Linked DNA regions of Saccharomyces cerevisiae S288C. The gene in region 3 interacts genetically with the main gene of each other region. Each region holds a gene or a part of one and is shown on either strand. Other genes may lie near its edges. The genes, in order: IDP2, GND1, VAS1 and SER3.

Region 1 (4,133 bases), on a different chromosome or scaffold from region 3:
ACAATTCTCTTGTAACCAACCAATAGAGTTTCTAAAGGTTGAATAATGGATCTCAAGTAAGATTCATCTCTTGTATTGTCGTAAACCCATTGGGCATCCATAACATCATGTAAAGTGACCATGTTGTCATTTTCAGACAGAGCACCGGATCTAACACGACGCAATTCTTGCATGTGACCACCAACACCTAATAGCATACCTAAATGAACACACAAAGTACGCATATAAGTACCAGCTTCACAGGAAGCCCAGAAAACACCTAAGTTTCTCTTGTTATCGAACTCAATCAAGTTTGACTCATAGATAGTACGAACACGTAATTGTCTCTTAACAGCAGAGATTAAAGGAGGTCTTTGGAAAAGCGCACCGGTCAAGTTTTCTAGTGAGCGGCCCAAATCCTTTTCATCCTTCAAAGCATCATGCAATCTGACAATACACACATACTCCTTACCAGCACCTTGTTGAGACTTAACCAACCTGGTAGCTCTGTCAATACAAACAATCAAACAACCTGTAACTTTTGGATCCAATGTACCAGAGTGACCAGTCTTCTCACAACGTAAGATTCTTTTGATCCAAGCTACAACTTCGTGCGATGATGGGTTGGAAGGTTTATCTAGATTAATGACACCAGAGCTGATATATGATTTCAGGTCTCTCTTTAGTGGTGAACTACCAGCTGGGATAGGGGTATAATGACCACTTCTGACTAATAACTTATCAAAATTCTTCAAAAGTAATGGCCATTCACTAGTGTCAGTGGAAGCACCTGCAGCTTCAGGCTTAATAACGAAATCCTCCTTTGACATTGTGTATATCGGTCCTCTGTGTAGGTTGTAACGAACTCCAGATGATAATGAATCTTTAAAAAAAAAAACCAATAAAAAATGTTCTGAAAACTATCTTTACATTATATTTTTCCTAAGCTAAACATCTCATCATTTGAAAATTTTTCAAATTTTTTCAGCATTTTCTTTTTGCGAAGAGGGAAAAGAAGAAAGAAAAATTTTCAGTGAGAACAGAAGATCATATGTTACGAGTAGAAAATACTAAAAGTTTTTCGATAAAAAGGGAATATATAATATAAATAAATCAATCTGTCATTGAGTAAGTTTACAATGCAGCTGCCTCGAACTCTTTTTTCAATCTAGATTCCACCGCGTCAATGAACTCCTCGGTAGTGACATAAGCGGATCTTTCAGACTTACCGAGAATGAGCGCCAAATCTTTAGTCATGATTCCATCTTCTTGCACTGTATTTACCGTAGCGCTTTCCAATATTTGGCCGAACTTAACTACATCTGGAGTATTATCAAGTTTACCCCTTTGAATAATACCTCTAGTCCACGCGAAAATTGATGCAATGGAATTTGTTGACGTCTCCTTTCCTTGCTGATGCTGTCTAAAATGTCTTGTTACTGTACCGTGGGCGGCTTCGCTTTCAAAGGTTTTACCGTCCGGGGTAATCAACACAGATGTCATTAACCCCAAGGAGCCAAATCCTTGTGCAACAATATCTGATTCTACGTCACCGTCGTAATTTTTCATGGCAATTATGTATCCACCTTTAGATTTCAACATTTGGGCCACCATATCATCAATTAAACGGTGCTCGTACCAGATGCCAAGGGATTCAAACTTCTCTTTATAACTTCTAGCATACATGGCTTCGAAAACATCTTTGAATTTACCATCATACTTCTTCAAAATAGTATTCTTAGTAGTGGAATATAATGGTAACTTCCTTTCAATGGCCAATTCAAAGGAGGCCTTCGCAAACCCTTCGATCGAATCTGTAGTGTTGTACATCATCATGGCAACCCCACCATGTTCTGGGTAGTCAAATACCTTCAGATCTACATCATGAGTTCCGCTCTTGGATTTATAAACAAGCCTCAACTCGCCTTCTTCAGGGACTATTACATCGGTAGCTTTGTACTGATCGCCGAATGCGTGTCTCCCAATGATGATGGGCTTCTCCCATTGAGGAACTAGCCTTGGAATTCTAGGGATAATAATAGGTTCTCTGAACACTGTACCACCCAAAATGTTTCTAATAGTACCATTTGGAGATTTCCACATCTTTTTCAAATGAAATTCCTCGACCCTTGCCTCATCGGGTGTAATAGTCGCGCATTTGACAGCTACTCCATACTTTAAAGTCGCGGTGGCAGAATCCACAGTTACTTGATCATTAGTCTGGTCACGATACTCCACGGAAAGATCGTAGTACTTCAAATCAACGTCAAGATAGGGCAAGACTAACTTGTCCCTGATTAAATGCCAGATTATTCTTGTTTGCTCATCGCCGTCCATTTCCACAATGGGGTTAGCTACCTTAATCTTTGTCATTACGATTTTATATATATACGTACGTTACCTTCTTACCTCCTATTCTCGTGCCTGAGCAGCGACTGTAGTCGACAAGTCAAGAGTGTAGTAACATACAATTGCAGGCTGTCATTTATATATCATGCCGGAGACTAGTTTGCCTATAGCCAATTCCAACCGAACCAATAATGTTAAGTCCGGTTTTTGATATTATACTCCACCCCCACTATTCCTAGCCCTGAAAGGTATCAAAGAGAACACTGATGATTTGACTACTGCATATTCTTCCCTTATTTCCTTATTTGCCGATTTTCGGACCACCGGCAATGACATCCCGGAGTTATAAAAATAAATAGATAGACGTTCACGTGACCAAAGTGTCACCCTCTCCGGCTAACCCGGTGAGAACCCACGGGCCCAATGCCGTCGTAAGTGACGCATCTATCGTCGCATTAAAGTGAATAACTGTAAAACCCTGGAATAGTATTTCGTTCAGGGTTCGTGTTAGTTCCAAGCTATTGACGACTTCCATGTCGTCATTTTCTAGATCAAATTGAAGCTTCATCTGCGTATTTCCTGTGTCCTCATCGTGCAGAATGTGCGATGAAGAGTTGATCCATTGCTTCATGGGTAAGTTTAAGAAATTGATGTCGTTATGGTACAGATCGATCTGTCCCCGAATGGTATCGATGCGAACTCGGTCTTGCTGGTGCGTCTCGTAGAAGGATAGATCAAAGAATCCTAAAAATGTCCCCACAAGACTGAGCTTTTTGCGCGCTGCCCACCGTAGCTGAAGATCGTTGATCTGAAACTCTTGAATCAATTCACTGGAGTTAAACGTAGCATTGGTAGTAATGGGAATAAACGATGCTTCTTGGAAAATATCCTCCAGCATGTCTGCTGGAATCAATGAGTTATTATCTATACCATCTTCAAGGACATGGCCTCTTGCTGCGAACGTAACAGTCTCGTTCTGGTTCAGGACCGCATTCACTATTTGGCTCATTGGTGTAAGACTATTTTGAGGACATTCTTGGTATAGTAGTTCATCGGGCAGAGGACCTTCAATTTCATTTTGTAAACAGACGACGATATTATCCTTGTCGTGGTGCAGATTAATCGGTTCGTTAAAGCAAGACAAGGTTGGAATTGCGATAGCAGGCTCACCGTTACAGTCCGGTAGCTTGATTTCCCAATTGATGAAAGGGATTGACGTGCCTGGCGGAAGGTGAAGCCAGTCCACCCCTCCAAGAATCGTGATCGGATTCAGTCTCATATCGGCATGAAATCCATCAGAACTGGAGTCCCGCAATGTAAATCCTTGAAGAGATATTCCATCGATCATATTTTGAATCATCCGAAGGGGCGTTGCCGATATTTTTTCCCAATCAATAATATCTTTCCAATCTAAGATTTCGTCATTAAGTTTCAATAAATTAAACCTCGTGCCAAATTTTCTCTTGAAGATAGTCATATCTAAATTCGATTTTATATTTAAGGATTCAAAATCCCTATTCCAAAATTTTTTCAAAACTTTTACGATTTTCCAAATAGACGGTTTAACTAAAATTTTGAACTGTAGGTTATTAATCTGTCGGTGAGCCAAATTAAAACAAATGGGTTCCATGCCAACAACATCTCCCAGTTTATTCTTGAACACTAGATCTCCATCGAATGTGGTCACGTTATTCAGATCTATACAAATGGTTTTAAGAACTTTTTCATTGATGTACCGTATCCAGTCACGTTGGCTTCTGGCGTCCGAGTCATTTTCCGTTCCTGGCCATTTGTCATAATCGAAC
Region 2 (4,492 bases), on a different chromosome or scaffold from region 3:
ATAAAAATTCTTGTTAAATATTTCAGGAACATCCTCCTCTCCTTGGTGGTTGTTATTTTTCCCATTTTGTAACCACCTGCGCATTCTTTCCCTAAATTTGGTAGGCTTTTTCTGCTTCGACTGCTTTGGGGAAGTTGAGGTTATTTCCCCAGAAGGATCATTCTCATATGTGCCAGAGCTTCTCATTGTTGCTAGCTTTTCTACTCTACTTCTATCATGATAATAGGCACTATTGTGAAATTTTTCACTTTTATTTTATTTTCTGACTTCATGATTTTGTGTCGCCTGTTTGCCTTTCCTTACGTAAAAAAAAAAAAAGAAATGGAGATAGTTTCGGGACCCCGTTTATAAACCTTTAATATTTTAGAAAACACATAACTTCATATACTATTTATAATTGCATTTGGATTTATTTATCTATTTATTATTATGATTACTTTTACTATAACTAATCTATTTCATTAAATTTTTTTGGTTTATGTCCAGGTTGGAGATTTCCTTTAAGCTTGGTATGTAGAGGAAGAAACATTACCACCGTGGCCAGTCCAGTTGATATGGATATCCTTGTCTACTGGCAAGTTGTCAGAAGCACATTCTGGCAACACTCTGAAAGTGTGAGCACCAAAGTAGTCACGTTGAGCTTGTAGTAAGTTGGCTGGCAATCTTTCAGATCTGTACCCATCGTAGAAAGACAAAGCGGTGGAAAAGGCTGGTGTTGGGATACCGTAGGTGGTAGCCAACGCAATTGACTTTCTCCAACCAGATTGAGCCTTGGTGACGGCATCAGCGAAGAACTTGTTGAACAACAAGTTTTCCAAATCTGGTTCTTCTCTGTAGGCCTTTGTGATTTGACCCAAGAAAACAGATCTAATGATACAACCACCTCTCCACATCAAAGCGATGGCAGGGTTGTTTAGTTTCCAGCCATAAGTAGCAGCAGCTTCACGGATCAACATGAAACCTTGAGCGTAAGAAATAATCTTGGAAGCATACAAAGCTTGTTCCAAATCATCGACAAATTGTTCTCTGTCCTTGACGGCGTCTTTTGGAACTTCTGGGCCTGGTAAGACCTTGGAGGCTCTAATTCTCTCGTTCTTCAAAGCAGATAGACAACGGGCAAAGACAGCTTCACCAATCAAAGTAACTGGCATACCCAAATCCAAGGCGTTGATGGCAGTCCACTTACCAGTACCCTTTTGACCAGCAGTATCCATGATTTTTTCAACTAATGGCTTACCGTCGACGTCGTCGAATTTCAAAATATCTCTGGTAATTTCGACCAAGAAGGAATCCAAGACACCATTGTTCCATTTGGCAAAAACGTCACTGATTTCCTTATCGGTAAACCCACCCAATCTCTTCATGATGTCATAAGCTTCACAAATCAATTGCATATCACCGTATTCAATACCGTTGTGAACCATCTTGACGTAGTGACCAGCACCGGCTGGGCCAACCCATTCGCAACATGGTTCACCGTCGGATTTAGCAGAGATGGATTGGAAGATGTTCTTAATATGTGGCCAAGCTTCTTCAGAACCACCTGGCATCAAAGATGGACCGTAACGGGCACCTTCCTCACCACCGGAGACACCAGAACCAACGAAAAGAATACCCTTCTTCTTCAATTCTTCGTAACGTCTATTAGAATCTGGGAAGTGAGAGTTACCACCATCGATGATAATATCACCCTTTTCCAAAAGTGGGACGATTTGGTTGATCAAAGCGTCAACTGGAGCACCAGCTTTAACCAAAAGCATGACCTTTCTAGGTCTCTTCAATTTGGAGATGAAATCTTCAATGGAAGTAGCACCGATGATAGATTTGCCCTTAGCTTCATTGGCCAAGAAATGGTCGACCTTGGATTGAGTTCTGTTGTAAGCACAAACAGTGAAACCGTGGTCAGCAGCGTTCAAGATCAAATTTTGACCCATGACGGCCAAACCAATCAAACCGAAATCAGCAGACATTTTATTGTAGTTTTTGTATAGAAAGTGGCTTTTTTCTGTAATGGCAACAATACAGGTTTATATGTATCAGGCTATTTACTTTATTATGTAAGAAAGGACCCCACTAAGAAAAAAGGAAACCTTTGAAAAAGAAACAAGCTCAGGAACAATACTGCAGCTTTTAACGAACATCAGGCCCATTTATATAATACAGCCTCGAAGCCCACCAAGGCCAAAGCGCAAGGCCGCGTGGACCACCAGGACGAAGCACCGCGTAACACCGAGGCACCGTAATGTAACACCGACAGCCACAATAGGTACAAAAGCAGCACAACCTCGAGGCGGGACGAAAGAACAGAGAGGTAGCAGGTGATTTACGTAGTTACTATGTAGCATGCATGGAGTTATGTAGAAGGGACATCGTTGACGTTGATGGGAAGGAATAAACCACTCTTACGTTTAGGTCTCTCTGGGGTTGTCGGAGTAGAACTAGTCTTGAATGGCCGAGGTATGAAATGGCCATCCTTGTCGTTTGGCGGTGGCTTAGGGGTAGAGTGTATAGGTGCCGTTGTATCCTTTATAATTATCGTCGGCGGTTCAGTGAGTGTCGCAGTAGTTGCCGTCGTGATCCTGTTTGCGATCAACGTTTGCAAAGTTTCTACAGTTCTTTCGTTGATGAAAAATGTAGATAATGTTGGTGACAAGATTTTGATGTCGATAGGGTTCTGTAAGCCTGTTCTTCTTACGAAGTGATGGGCCAATGGTATGTCTATGTCACTGTTGTCTCTAAACAAATCTTGTATTGTTTGCGGCGGAAGTGAGTATTTGCTATTGATCAATTGAAAATGGTTTGCTAGTTCTTGTAGAAACCTTAAGGAGCTCGTCGGAAACTGTTCACATAGGGATGTTAGCGATTTTTCGGCCTTAATTAAGTCATCGTAGTGGTTTGAAGGTATTAGGCTGTCGGGTAGCTCTAACAGCCATAATTTTATCAGTCCGACGAGATCATTAGTGACATAGCTGTGCGAGTTTTCAAAAAAATGAGCAGTGATTATAGAGTTTGTATTTTCGGTAGTTTTCGATCCTTTGAATTCCCCCAATAAGTCTCTTTTCAAATTAGAAACCCTTACAAAATCAATATCCCTGTGCCAACTTTGTATGACTTTATTAGCATTTGGTTCCTTTTCAATCTGCCGCAGTATAATCTTTATTGCCCCTAACGTATCAAGAGCAGCCAGTTCATTATTTATTTCACTACCACAGAAAAACTTTTCGCTTTTTATGGAGATTTCTTTGCAAGCGTCGACTGGATCACTCGCTTCTAGGATATTCCACCTGCGAAAGGGTATGCCATTATCCCTGAGGAAAAACCCTCTTACATCCGCATTGGCAGTTTCCTGTGGCAGTTGTGCTTCTTGTAGAGAACACACAGGTGAGTCAGTAAATTTTTCACATTTTTGTTGAAACATCATGTTTGATGATTCTAGAGCTCGTTTGATTCCGTCCTCCATTTTAGAGTAATTTTTACAATAATCATAAATGGTTTTTTCCAACTGCACTTTAGAATATTCCAACTGGCAACACTTGGAGAAAAAAATATCTTGTGATGATTCAAGTTGCTGTTTTAAACTCTTCCACTCATTTTTATTCATATCTGTACTTCCCGCTGCATCGCAATCATCATTATCATGTTGACTAACTTTGCGGATCCAATCGGATATAGATGTTTTGATAGATGAAACGTTGGACTTTTCTTCGTGTTCATTGTCGGAGTGTGTTAACTCACCATACGATTTTTTTTTTCTGTTTCCAGCATTACCATTACTCTCTTGCGTAGCAAGGACTTCACTGTTCCAGTAATAGTATTTTTCCTGGTCAAACTGAGAAACTTTGCTAGAGTAAAAACTCAGGGAATATTCTTGTATTATACCCAGTTGGATGAATTCGTTACCTATCCTATCGATATTAAATAAGGACAGGTTTAGTCTGGGTTCAAGTTTTTTCAATTCTTTGATCAATGACCTGCCTTGGAAACTTTGATTTGACAATCCTGGAACGGAAAAGACACTTTTCTCCAGGATGACTTTTCCCTTCAAGGTTTGCAAAAATGACATAAATTGGTCGCAATCCTCAAATTTTAACCTCTCGTCTAAAGTGTAAGGAAACTCGCATACGAAGTTCAACCTGGTTAACGGTGCACTATCCTTTCCATTATCAAAAACAGAGGAAGAATTTTCCACTGGCGTATTGGCTTTTTTCAATTTATATATAGACTGAACTCTTTTCTCACATCCAATTAGTGCCTCTTTAGCTGCGACTAAATCCTTAATGTAAGCTGAATAACGAGATGACAAATCGTTTTCTGCCTCACGAAGGAAGCTCTCATTAAGATCTCTTAGTTCTTGCAATGGAATTTTACAATCTCTTTCAACTTGCTCTGTTGATATTATATTAAACTGTTTGCTCATCACTTCCAGCAGCCTGCTATTCATTGAATTGGTTGCTTCCATTTTTTGTAAATTGTTCAATGTTGGTTTCCAAAA
Region 3 (6,468 bases):
CCGGTTATTTTGATGACTTCACCAGTGAGGCTGACATGGCCAAATATGCTGATGTTTTCAAAAGACAAGACAAATTAACGGCTATGGTAGATGACTCGGCAGTATCATCAAAACTTGTTGGGTTCACTTTCCGACATAGAAATGGTAAACAGGGTTCCAGTGGCATCTTATTCAACGGACTGGAACACTCAGACCCCTTTTCAACCTTTTACTAGCGTAAAAATGAATTCTTGTCTTGCATTCGCCGCGATATAATTAGCTTTAACGAGCTTCATGCAAACTTTTCAACTAGCACCTATGAACGCTTTTTTCATAAATATACATATATATATATATAGTTGTGCATTACTTAGGACTTCAAGCCCATTGTTTAAAATCTCAGTTCACGGTAACGGTCCATCCCATGACCGTTTTGAACTAAACTTAAGCATTCATGTTGGGAGCGGCGAAACTTGGTAATGTTTTACAGGAAAACAGCAATGACCACTATTAATCGAAAATCTGCAAAAAATGAAAAGGAATGGGTGTTAACATCAATTGTTTTTTCAATGATAATTACAAATTGGACTGATACTACATTGCTAGATGTACAAAAAACGCAAGGTAGCTCTCTTAGAAGGATCCATAATATATAAAAAAGGGCTTATGGTTTACTGATATCTTTTTCACTTCAAAAACTTACATATAAAAATAGGATGACAAATGCAAAGATTTTAGTAGCTCATATAAGTGAAAGCGATGCCGATGAGGCTATCAGAAAGATCAAGAAAGTGAATGAAAAATCAGGGCCCTTTGATCTAATAATTATATTCAGTAACTCGTATGATGAAAATTTTGAGCTGAATACTGATGGGTTACCTCAACTAATACTACTATCGTGTGATAAGGCTAACAATTCGAAATCCAAAAAGATAAATGAAAATGTAACATTGCTGCATAATATGGGTACTTATAAATTAGCAAATGGAATCACTCTTTCATATTTTATTTATCCGGATGATACTCTTCAAGGGGAGAAAAAAAGCATACTGGACGAATTTGGCAAAAGTGAGGATCAGGTAGACATTCTCCTTACAAAAGAATGGGGCCTTTCGATCTCTGAGAGATGTGGAAGGTTGTCTGGAAGTGAAGTTGTTGATGAATTGGCGAAAAAGTTACAAGCAAGGTACCATTTTGCCTTTTCAGATGAAATAAACTTTTACGAATTAGAGCCTTTCCAGTGGGAAAGAGAGCGCTTATCGAGGTTCCTCAATATTCCAAAATATGGATCTGGAAAGAAATGGGCCTATGCATTCAATATGCCAATAGGGGACAACGAACTAAAGGATGAACCTGAACCGCCCAACTTGATAGCTAACCCGTATAATAGCGTGGTTACAAACAGCAATAAAAGGCCACTAGAAACAGAAACAGAGAATTCGTTCGATGGAGACAAACAGGTACTTGCTAATAGAGAAAAGAATGAAAATAAAAAAATTCGAACGATTTTGCCGTCAAGTTGTCATTTCTGCTTTTCAAATCCAAACCTCGAGGATCATATGATAATATCAATCGGCAAACTAGTGTATTTAACCACAGCGAAGGGACCTTTAAGTGTTCCTAAGGGTGATATGGATATCTCAGGCCATTGCCTCATTATTCCCATTGAACATATTCCGAAATTAGATCCAAGCAAGAACGCAGAGTTGACACAGAGTATTTTGGCTTATGAAGCTAGTCTTGTGAAGATGAACTACATAAAATTTGATATGTGCACGATTGTCTTCGAAATACAGTCTGAACGTTCTATTCATTTCCACAAACAAGTTATTCCCGTTCCAAAATACCTCGTTCTAAAGTTCTGCAGTGCCTTAGATAGACAGGTTCATTTCAATAACGAAAAATTCACAAGAAATGCTAAGCTAGAGTTCCAATGTTACGATTCACACTCTTCCAAACAATATGTGGATGTAATTAACAACCAATCCAATAATTATTTACAATTTACCGTCTACGAGACTCCTGAAGCGGACCCAAAGATATATTTGGCCACATTTAATGCCAGTGAGACAATAGATCTGCAGTTTGGACGACGTGTACTAGCCTTTTTACTTAACTTGCCACGCAGGGTGAAATGGAATTCTTCAACCTGTTTACAAACTAAGCAACAAGAGACTATAGAGGCTGAAAAGTTTCAAAAGGCCTACAGGACCTATGACATTTCTCTCACAGAAAACTAAACTAAAACTATTTCATTTAGAATTTCAAATATATCCAAATATATGTATATATATGTAGAATACTAAGTCATGCTACCTCTGAACGTTTAAGAGACCTAGCAACTCAGAGGTGATGAATTAAAAGAAAAACCGGGTAAAGTTCTTCGAGAGACCGCGCTGAAAAAATTTTTTTAGAAGAGTCACCCATACAGCCTACTGGTGTTCTCTGTGTGTGCTACCACTGGCTGTCATCGTTGTTGTATGTCCTTCAGATTTATGGAATTACTTAGATGGTATGAATAAGTGGTTAAACACATTATCTAAGACATTCACTTTTCGGCTTTTGAACTGTCATTATAGGCGATCATTACCACTTTGTCAAAACTTTTCTCTGAAGAAGTCGTTAACTCATAATCAAGTCAGGTTCTTTAAAATGAGCGATCTTGATAATTTGCCTCCAGTTGACCCAAAGACTGGTGAGGTCATCATTAATCCGTTAAAGGAAGATGGCTCTCCAAAGACTCCTAAGGAAATTGAAAAAGAGAAGAAAAAGGCTGAAAAACTGTTAAAGTTCGCTGCCAAACAAGCTAAAAAAAATGCTGCTGCCACCACAGGTGCATCTCAAAAGAAACCTAAGAAAAAGAAGGAAGTTGAGCCAATCCCTGAATTTATTGACAAAACTGTTCCAGGTGAGAAAAAAATCTTAGTATCCTTGGATGATCCGGCTTTAAAAGCTTATAACCCTGCTAACGTTGAAAGTTCTTGGTATGACTGGTGGATCAAGACTGGTGTTTTTGAACCTGAGTTTACCGCTGATGGTAAGGTTAAACCAGAAGGTGTATTTTGCATTCCAGCACCTCCACCAAACGTCACTGGTGCCTTACATATTGGTCATGCTTTGACTATTGCTATCCAAGATTCTTTGATCAGATATAACAGAATGAAAGGTAAAACTGTCTTATTCTTGCCAGGTTTCGACCATGCTGGTATTGCTACTCAGTCCGTTGTGGAGAAGCAAATCTGGGCTAAGGACAGAAAGACTAGACATGACTATGGAAGAGAAGCTTTTGTTGGTAAGGTCTGGGAATGGAAAGAGGAATACCATAGCAGAATTAAGAACCAAATTCAAAAATTGGGGGCTTCTTATGATTGGAGCCGCGAAGCTTTCACTTTGAGTCCAGAATTGACCAAGTCTGTTGAAGAAGCTTTTGTTAGACTACATGATGAAGGTGTTATTTATCGTGCGTCCAGATTAGTTAATTGGTCTGTTAAATTGAATACCGCTATCTCTAATTTGGAAGTCGAAAATAAGGACGTTAAAAGTAGAACGCTTTTATCAGTCCCAGGCTATGATGAAAAGGTTGAATTTGGTGTTTTAACATCATTTGCTTATCCAGTTATCGGTAGCGATGAAAAACTGATCATTGCTACAACTAGACCTGAAACTATATTTGGTGATACTGCCGTTGCAGTTCATCCTGATGATGACCGTTACAAACACTTGCATGGTAAGTTCATCCAACATCCTTTCTTACCAAGAAAAATTCCAATTATCACCGACAAGGAAGCTGTTGACATGGAATTCGGTACTGGTGCCGTTAAGATCACTCCAGCCCATGACCAAAACGATTACAATACCGGTAAGCGTCACAATTTGGAATTCATCAATATTTTGACTGACGATGGTTTATTAAACGAGGAGTGTGGTCCAGAGTGGCAAGGCATGAAGAGGTTTGATGCCAGAAAGAAGGTCATTGAGCAGCTGAAGGAAAAGAACCTATACGTTGGCCAAGAAGATAATGAAATGACCATTCCAACTTGTTCCAGATCTGGTGACATTATTGAACCTTTATTGAAACCTCAATGGTGGGTTTCTCAAAGTGAAATGGCCAAAGATGCTATTAAGGTTGTTAGGGATGGTCAAATTACCATCACCCCCAAATCTTCTGAGGCTGAATATTTCCATTGGTTGGGTAACATCCAAGATTGGTGTATTTCCAGACAATTATGGTGGGGTCATCGTTGTCCAGTTTACTTTATTAATATCGAAGGCGAAGAACACGATAGAATTGATGGTGACTATTGGGTTGCTGGTAGGAGCATGGAGGAAGCTGAAAAGAAGGCTGCTGCCAAATACCCTAATTCCAAATTTACTCTGGAACAAGATGAAGATGTTTTAGACACCTGGTTCTCGTCCGGTTTGTGGCCTTTCTCCACTTTGGGTTGGCCAGAGAAGACTAAAGACATGGAAACTTTTTACCCCTTTTCTATGTTGGAAACTGGTTGGGATATTCTTTTCTTCTGGGTTACTAGAATGATTCTATTGGGCTTAAAATTGACCGGTTCAGTTCCATTCAAGGAAGTTTTCTGCCACTCTTTAGTCCGTGACGCTCAAGGTCGTAAGATGTCTAAATCTTTAGGTAATGTTATTGACCCACTAGACGTTATTACTGGTATTAAGTTGGATGATTTGCATGCAAAATTATTACAAGGTAACTTAGATCCAAGAGAAGTTGAAAAAGCTAAGATCGGTCAAAAGGAATCCTACCCTAACGGTATTCCTCAATGTGGTACCGATGCTATGAGGTTTGCATTATGTGCTTATACCACTGGTGGTCGTGATATTAACTTAGATATCTTACGTGTCGAAGGTTACAGAAAGTTCTGTAACAAAATCTACCAAGCTACCAAGTTTGCATTGATGAGACTCGGTGACGATTATCAACCACCTGCCACTGAAGGTCTATCAGGTAACGAATCCTTGGTTGAAAAATGGATCTTGCACAAGCTGACTGAAACCTCGAAAATTGTCAATGAAGCTCTAGATAAACGTGACTTCTTGACGTCCACTAGCAGTATTTACGAATTCTGGTATTTGATTTGTGATGTTTACATCGAGAACTCTAAATACTTGATTCAAGAAGGCTCTGCTATTGAAAAGAAGTCCGCAAAGGATACATTGTATATCTTGCTGGACAACGCTTTGAAATTAATCCATCCATTCATGCCATTCATTTCTGAAGAAATGTGGCAAAGACTTCCAAAGCGTTCCACTGAGAAGGCTGCCTCAATTGTAAAAGCTTCTTATCCAGTTTACGTATCTGAGTACGATGATGTCAAATCGGCCAATGCTTACGACTTGGTCTTGAACATTACCAAAGAAGCTCGTTCCTTGTTATCTGAGTACAATATTTTGAAGAATGGTAAGGTTTTCGTTGAATCTAACCACGAGGAATACTTCAAAACTGCTGAAGATCAGAAAGATTCTATTGTCTCGTTGATCAAGGCCATCGACGAAGTCACTGTTGTTCGTGATGCTTCCGAAATTCCAGAAGGTTGCGTATTGCAATCTGTTAACCCAGAAGTCAATGTACATCTTCTCGTCAAGGGACACGTTGATATTGATGCTGAAATTGCGAAAGTTCAAAAGAAACTTGAAAAGGCTAAAAAATCCAAGAACGGTATTGAACAAACCATTAACAGTAAGGATTACGAAACAAAGGCTAATACACAGGCCAAGGAAGCCAATAAAAGCAAGCTGGATAACACTGTTGCCGAAATCGAAGGTTTGGAAGCTACTATTGAAAACTTGAAGCGTTTGAAATTGTAGATTGAAGGTAGATAAAAATTAATGTAATATATATATATATATATGCTATGTATATGTAACAACGAAAATGTTAAGAATTTTAGAACATTGAATAATAACTATTTCCAAATATAAGAGGTAGTCTCCGGCATACGACATAGCATGTTGTGGTATATTATAATCTATAATGGCTATACAACTAGACGAGGTGATATATTGTCCTGTATTATTCTTCTTATATTTGTGACAAGTTCTTGACACTTTTGCTCACCCAGCTCCAGTAAACTGAACAATTGATCTTCATTAAAATCACCATTGCTGTCTAACAATAAAACGTTTTTCACGACTTTACCGCCATTGACGAACTCCAGAGCTAAAGTGTGGACAGAGAGCGAAATCTTCAATTGCTCGGCAGTGGGATCGACAATGATATCACTAGTGTCTTTGATTATTGCAATAGGGATGCTTGCGCACATACTATTTAAGGCAATTCCTGCATCAACTAAAGCCAAAAATGCCGCATTTATACAACAACTTAGCTCTCTCAGGGAGAATTCGGCTTCATCTTCACCAGATTCCAGAATTTGACAAGTTATCTGGCAGAGCTGTCTTGGGTAACAATGACGAGTGATGAGTGGGGTCAGAACTGCCCGTAATTTATCTTCGAGTACCTTCTCTCTT
Region 4 (4,221 bases), on a different chromosome or scaffold from region 3:
AACGTTTCCATTTCAGATACTGGTCTATTGGCATTATCTAGGGGCCCTCACGTTACGTTGTGGAAGGACGCTTTAAAATTAAGTGGAGACAGTAAACCGTGCTTCGGGTCCATGGGAGGGAACCCACATAGAAACACCCCTTACATGTCACATTTGTTTGCCGGAAACAAAGTAGAAAATTTGGGATTCGTACCATTTGAAGATTTACTAGGTGTAGGCCATCAAACGGGTATTACGAATTTGATTGTACCTGGTGCAGGTGAAGCCAATTACGATGCCTTAGAATTAAACCCATTCGAAACCAAAAAACAAAGACAGGAACAGGAAGTCAGAACCCTATTGAACAAACTGCCAGCAGATACAATTACTTTAGATCCGAATTCCATCGGTTCAGTGGATAAAAGGTCTTCTACCATAAGGTTAAACGCTAAGGATTTGGCGCAAACTACAATGGATGCTAATAATAAAGCCAAAACCAACAGCGACATTCCAGATGTAAAACCTGATGTGAAAGGTAAGAATTCGGGTTTGCGTTCCTTTTTGCGTAAAAAGACTCAAAACGTTATTGATGAAAGAAAATTAAGAGTACAGAAACAACTGGATAAGGAGAAAAATATTCGTAAAAGAAACCACCAAATCAAACAAGGCCTAATTTCAGAAGACCACAAGGATGTCATCGAAGAGGCATTGAGCAGATTCGGCTAAATCGAAATATCTTTAAAAAAAAAACTTAAATGATTATGTATGTATATATAAAATAGATAATCATTATTATTGCCTCAAGCATTCTTCTATCCATTTTTTTTTTGGTTCTTTTTAATATTTTATAGGAAACTTTTAATCATGTTCAAAAAGTTGACAGTATGAGAATCGATTGCATATTAATATAGCAATCTAATTGAGATCTTAGCAGAGGTTTGATTTAGTTGTTCATAAATATCTTTAATATCGCTTTGGTCAACAGAAGAGATATCAGCCATTAAATAAGCAATTTCACCATTTGAATCGGAAAATTGCTTTTCGATGTTATGGTTCGATAAAATATCATTGACGGTCTTCAAAACACCTGGTACATTTTGGTGAATGTATAACACACGCACAGTGTTCTCTTGGTCGTAAGACAATGATTTCAATGCCACTTCTGGGAAGTTGACTGAACCGACAGAGTTACCTTCATTGATGTATTTGGACAATGCGGTAGCCACTTCAATACCGATTGAGCTTTGGGCTTCTTCGGTAGAGCCACCAATGTGTGGTGTCAAGATGATATTTGGTAATGAAACTAATTCAGAAGTCCAGCTATTTAGCTCATCGTTAAATGAACCTTCACCGTTCTTAGCTGGTTCATGTGGATAAACATCCAAAGCAGCACCTGCAATTTTGTTGGCTTTCACGGCTTGGATCAAAGATGGAATGTCCACGACAGTACCTCTTGAAGCATTAATAACATAAGCGCCATCCTTCATAGCAGCAAATTGTGGGGCAGATAACATTTTTTCAGTTTCAGGAGTAGCTGGTACATGTAGTGTCACAAAATCAGATTTATTCAACAATTCATCTAATGTAGAAACTTGTCTGGCAGTACCCAAGGCCATGATAGTTACAATATCGTAGTACAACACATGCAAACCCATAGCTTCTGCAAGAACTGATAATTGGGAACCAATGTGACCGTACCCAATAATACCAAGAGTTTTTCCTCTTACCTCCCAACATCTAGCAGCAACCTTATTCCATGTACCGGTATGTAATTCGATAGATCTATCACCTAGTTGTCTTGCTAAACTAATGATTTCAGCGATGACCAATTCTGCTACTGATCTTGAGTTGGAGAAAGGCGAGTTGAAAACAGCAATACCTCTGCTGGTAGCGTAGTCTAAGTCAACTTGGTTGGTACCGATACAGAAACAACCAATACAAACCAGATTCTTCGCATGTTGTAAGACATTTGAAGTTAATCTAGTCTTTGATCTGATACCAATAGCATGAACGTCCTTGATCTTTTCGATCAACTCTTCCTCGGGCAATGAAGATTTATAGAATTCGACTTGGTAACCTTGCTCTTCGAAGATTGTAATAGCAGTTTGATTAACGTTTTCTAATAGTAAAATCTTCATATCACCCGTTGAGAAAGGCTTCAAAATTTTTGGGTGCTTTACAGCATTCAAGCGCTGTGGAACGGTATTCATGAAAGATTGCGTAGGTGAAGTACAAACAGCGCCTGGGGAGCCGCTCATATTCATAGCTTGTTGAAAGGTATTTTGTAAGTTGTTAATGTCAATGCTTGTCATTGCTGTCGATTTTTCTGTGGTTCTTTATAGAGTTCTGTATTTTTACTAAGATAGTTGACAAGTATCAAAAAGTGAAATAACTAGAAATGGTTCTTCCTTTATATACATAACAGTTTTAAGAATTTCCTTATCCTCTGCTCCCTCCTTCCAACAAAGTAATTACTCATAACTTGGATATTTGTCTGATTTTTTCATCCCGCTCAGAAAACCCTGCACGGGCAGCGTTGCATTTTCTTAATTTTTTTCTCGTGGTAGAAGTCAAGGACAATAAATTGCGAAATTAGGTGGGAACGAGAAGAATAATTAAAGTGCTGAGACCGAAGTTGTTCCCCTTGAATTCCATTTGTGAGTAAATATCGAAAATGGGTCCACAAAAAAAATTAGGTTTTTCTAAAATATTAGGTCCAGCCTAACTGCTTAACCAAATTTTTAATTTGTGATATTTGCACATAGCTTGGCCAAACAAAGGCATTACTCGATTGTGAGTAAAAAACTAAAACAATGTAGATAATCAGGATTAAACAATGGCATTTCTATGGATTTGTTGTTCTCTTTATATATTTGAGGAAAATTCAAAGATAATGGGGAGAAAGGTGGAGATGTATCTCCACCTATCGTAAATTTGAAAGTTCCGCTTTTCCGCCAATTGCACCCAAACATCACGCAACGCTTTTTAAAACGTTATCAATATATCCAATCCAGCATTGTTAAGTTGATTAGTAAATGGAAGAGATTCCATTGTGTACAAAAAAGGGTTTTAACTTGATTATTTTGTTATAACGTTCTATACAGTTGAATGAGGTAAAGAAAACAAAAAAATATTTCATTTTTAGTATAGATTATTTGGTAGCTTCAGGTTGCTTCACGGTGTAGTCTCCGTTCTCTTGCTTAACAATACTGCCGGAATTTAATAGTTGATCAAACATATCTTGAGGAATCCACCCTTGAGTGGCAGCAAATGGTGTAGAGATTAGCTTTTCGTGTAATTTTTGCAAATCCTCAACATGTCTTTCAATATCTTCTTTACTATAGTTTAGAGGAAACTTTTTCTGATTCACTAACTCATTCTGGGCAAAGATGTCCCAAACTTCCTTCAATTGCAATAGTGATTCATCAATAAGTAAATACTCTTCTTCCGTTTTTCTTTCGACAGCTGCAATATATGGGCTTCTCAGTAGCTTAACAGGTGGGGCAACTGCAGTAATTAATTTAGGATTATTGTCATTTAATTTTTTCTCCCATTGATGTTGATTACGGGTGCGCTTGTACATGAACTGATATTGCACCTTTTCCGCCTCAGATAATTTGTCAAAATCGGTTATGTCCTCCTTTAAGTCATAAATCTTGGGCCCATCATAGGCGATGAATTGTGGCGAATTCTGTAAAATGAAAGGTTTTGTGCATGCTCCTTCAAAATCTAATAGATAGGCTTCTTGTGCTTCTTTGTTAACAATAATATTCATGGGGTCTAGATCAGGATGAAACAAACGTGGTGACAATAGTTCCTGCATATTTGGAATGGCCTTTGTTTTGACGTTGAATAAATCCGGGGCAATCTTAGCTAAATTTTCATAGGTAGTTATTTGCTCCTTCAAAGTTCGAGGATACATCAATTCAGCTGAACTTCCTGCCTCTTTCATGGCTATTCTAGTTTTAGCATTTTCAGCTTCCAATAGGCCAGTATTTTTAATTATATCCATTGGAGACTTCTTTGGCCATGGTCCCAAAAAAGGTTTCATTTGTTTATGAAAATCCAAGTGAGATTTATGTCTCCAGAGACATCTTTCCACGGATGGCCCAATTTTCCATCTGTTTTGTAGATCCGGATTAGTTTCCCCATCGTATATGTCTTCCTTAACAAACTCCTTCTCATTTCCGTCTTTTAAGTCATTGTTAAAATATATGGATCCAAATGCATTTAATTTCAATG

What was found.
Region 1: mutations in VAS1 (region 3) and IDP2 together harm fitness more than expected from each alone (negative genetic interaction), as found in Saccharomyces cerevisiae (one large-scale study listed by BioGRID).
Region 2: mutations in VAS1 (region 3) and GND1 together harm fitness more than expected from each alone (negative genetic interaction), as found in Saccharomyces cerevisiae (one large-scale study listed by BioGRID).
Region 4: mutations in VAS1 (region 3) and SER3 together harm fitness more than expected from each alone (negative genetic interaction), as found in Saccharomyces cerevisiae (one large-scale study listed by BioGRID).

Annotation. Positions count from the first base shown.
Region 1 is NC_001144.5:502,810-506,942, reverse strand, and holds IDP2 (isocitrate dehydrogenase (NADP(+)) IDP2), read right to left. Parts: upstream 2,353-4,133; coding exon 1,114-2,352; downstream 1-1,113. Other genes in the region: pseudouridine synthase CBF5, read right to left, coding at 1-809; TAG1 (Tag1p), read right to left, coding at 2,696-4,133. UniProt on the Saccharomyces cerevisiae protein: May function in the production of NADPH for fatty acid and sterol synthesis.
Region 2 is NC_001140.6:468,438-472,929, reverse strand, and holds GND1 (phosphogluconate dehydrogenase (decarboxylating) GND1), read right to left. Parts: upstream 1,971-4,492; coding exon 501-1,970; downstream 1-500. Other genes in the region: SSP1 (Ssp1p), read right to left, coding at 1-186; RGD3 (Rgd3p), read right to left, coding at 2,354-4,492. UniProt on the Saccharomyces cerevisiae protein: Catalyzes the oxidative decarboxylation of 6-phosphogluconate to ribulose 5-phosphate and CO(2), with concomitant reduction of NADP to NADPH.
Region 3 is NC_001139.9:669,693-676,160, forward strand, and holds VAS1 (valine--tRNA ligase), read left to right. Parts: upstream 1-2,493; coding exon 2,494-5,808; downstream 5,809-6,468. Other genes in the region: serine/threonine-protein kinase DBF2, read left to right, coding at 1-215; DRN1 (Drn1p), read left to right, coding at 696-2,219; exosome non-catalytic core subunit RRP46, read right to left, coding at 5,979-6,468.
Region 4 is NC_001137.3:320,756-324,976, reverse strand, and holds SER3 (phosphoglycerate dehydrogenase SER3), read right to left. Parts: upstream 2,292-4,221; coding exon 882-2,291; downstream 1-881. Other genes in the region: UTP7 (Utp7p), read left to right, coding at 1-705; AIM9 (Aim9p), read right to left, coding at 3,131-4,221. UniProt on the Saccharomyces cerevisiae protein: Catalyzes the reversible oxidation of 3-phospho-D-glycerate to 3-phosphonooxypyruvate, the first step of the phosphorylated L-serine biosynthesis pathway. Also catalyzes the reversible oxidation of 2-hydroxyglutarate to 2-oxoglutarate.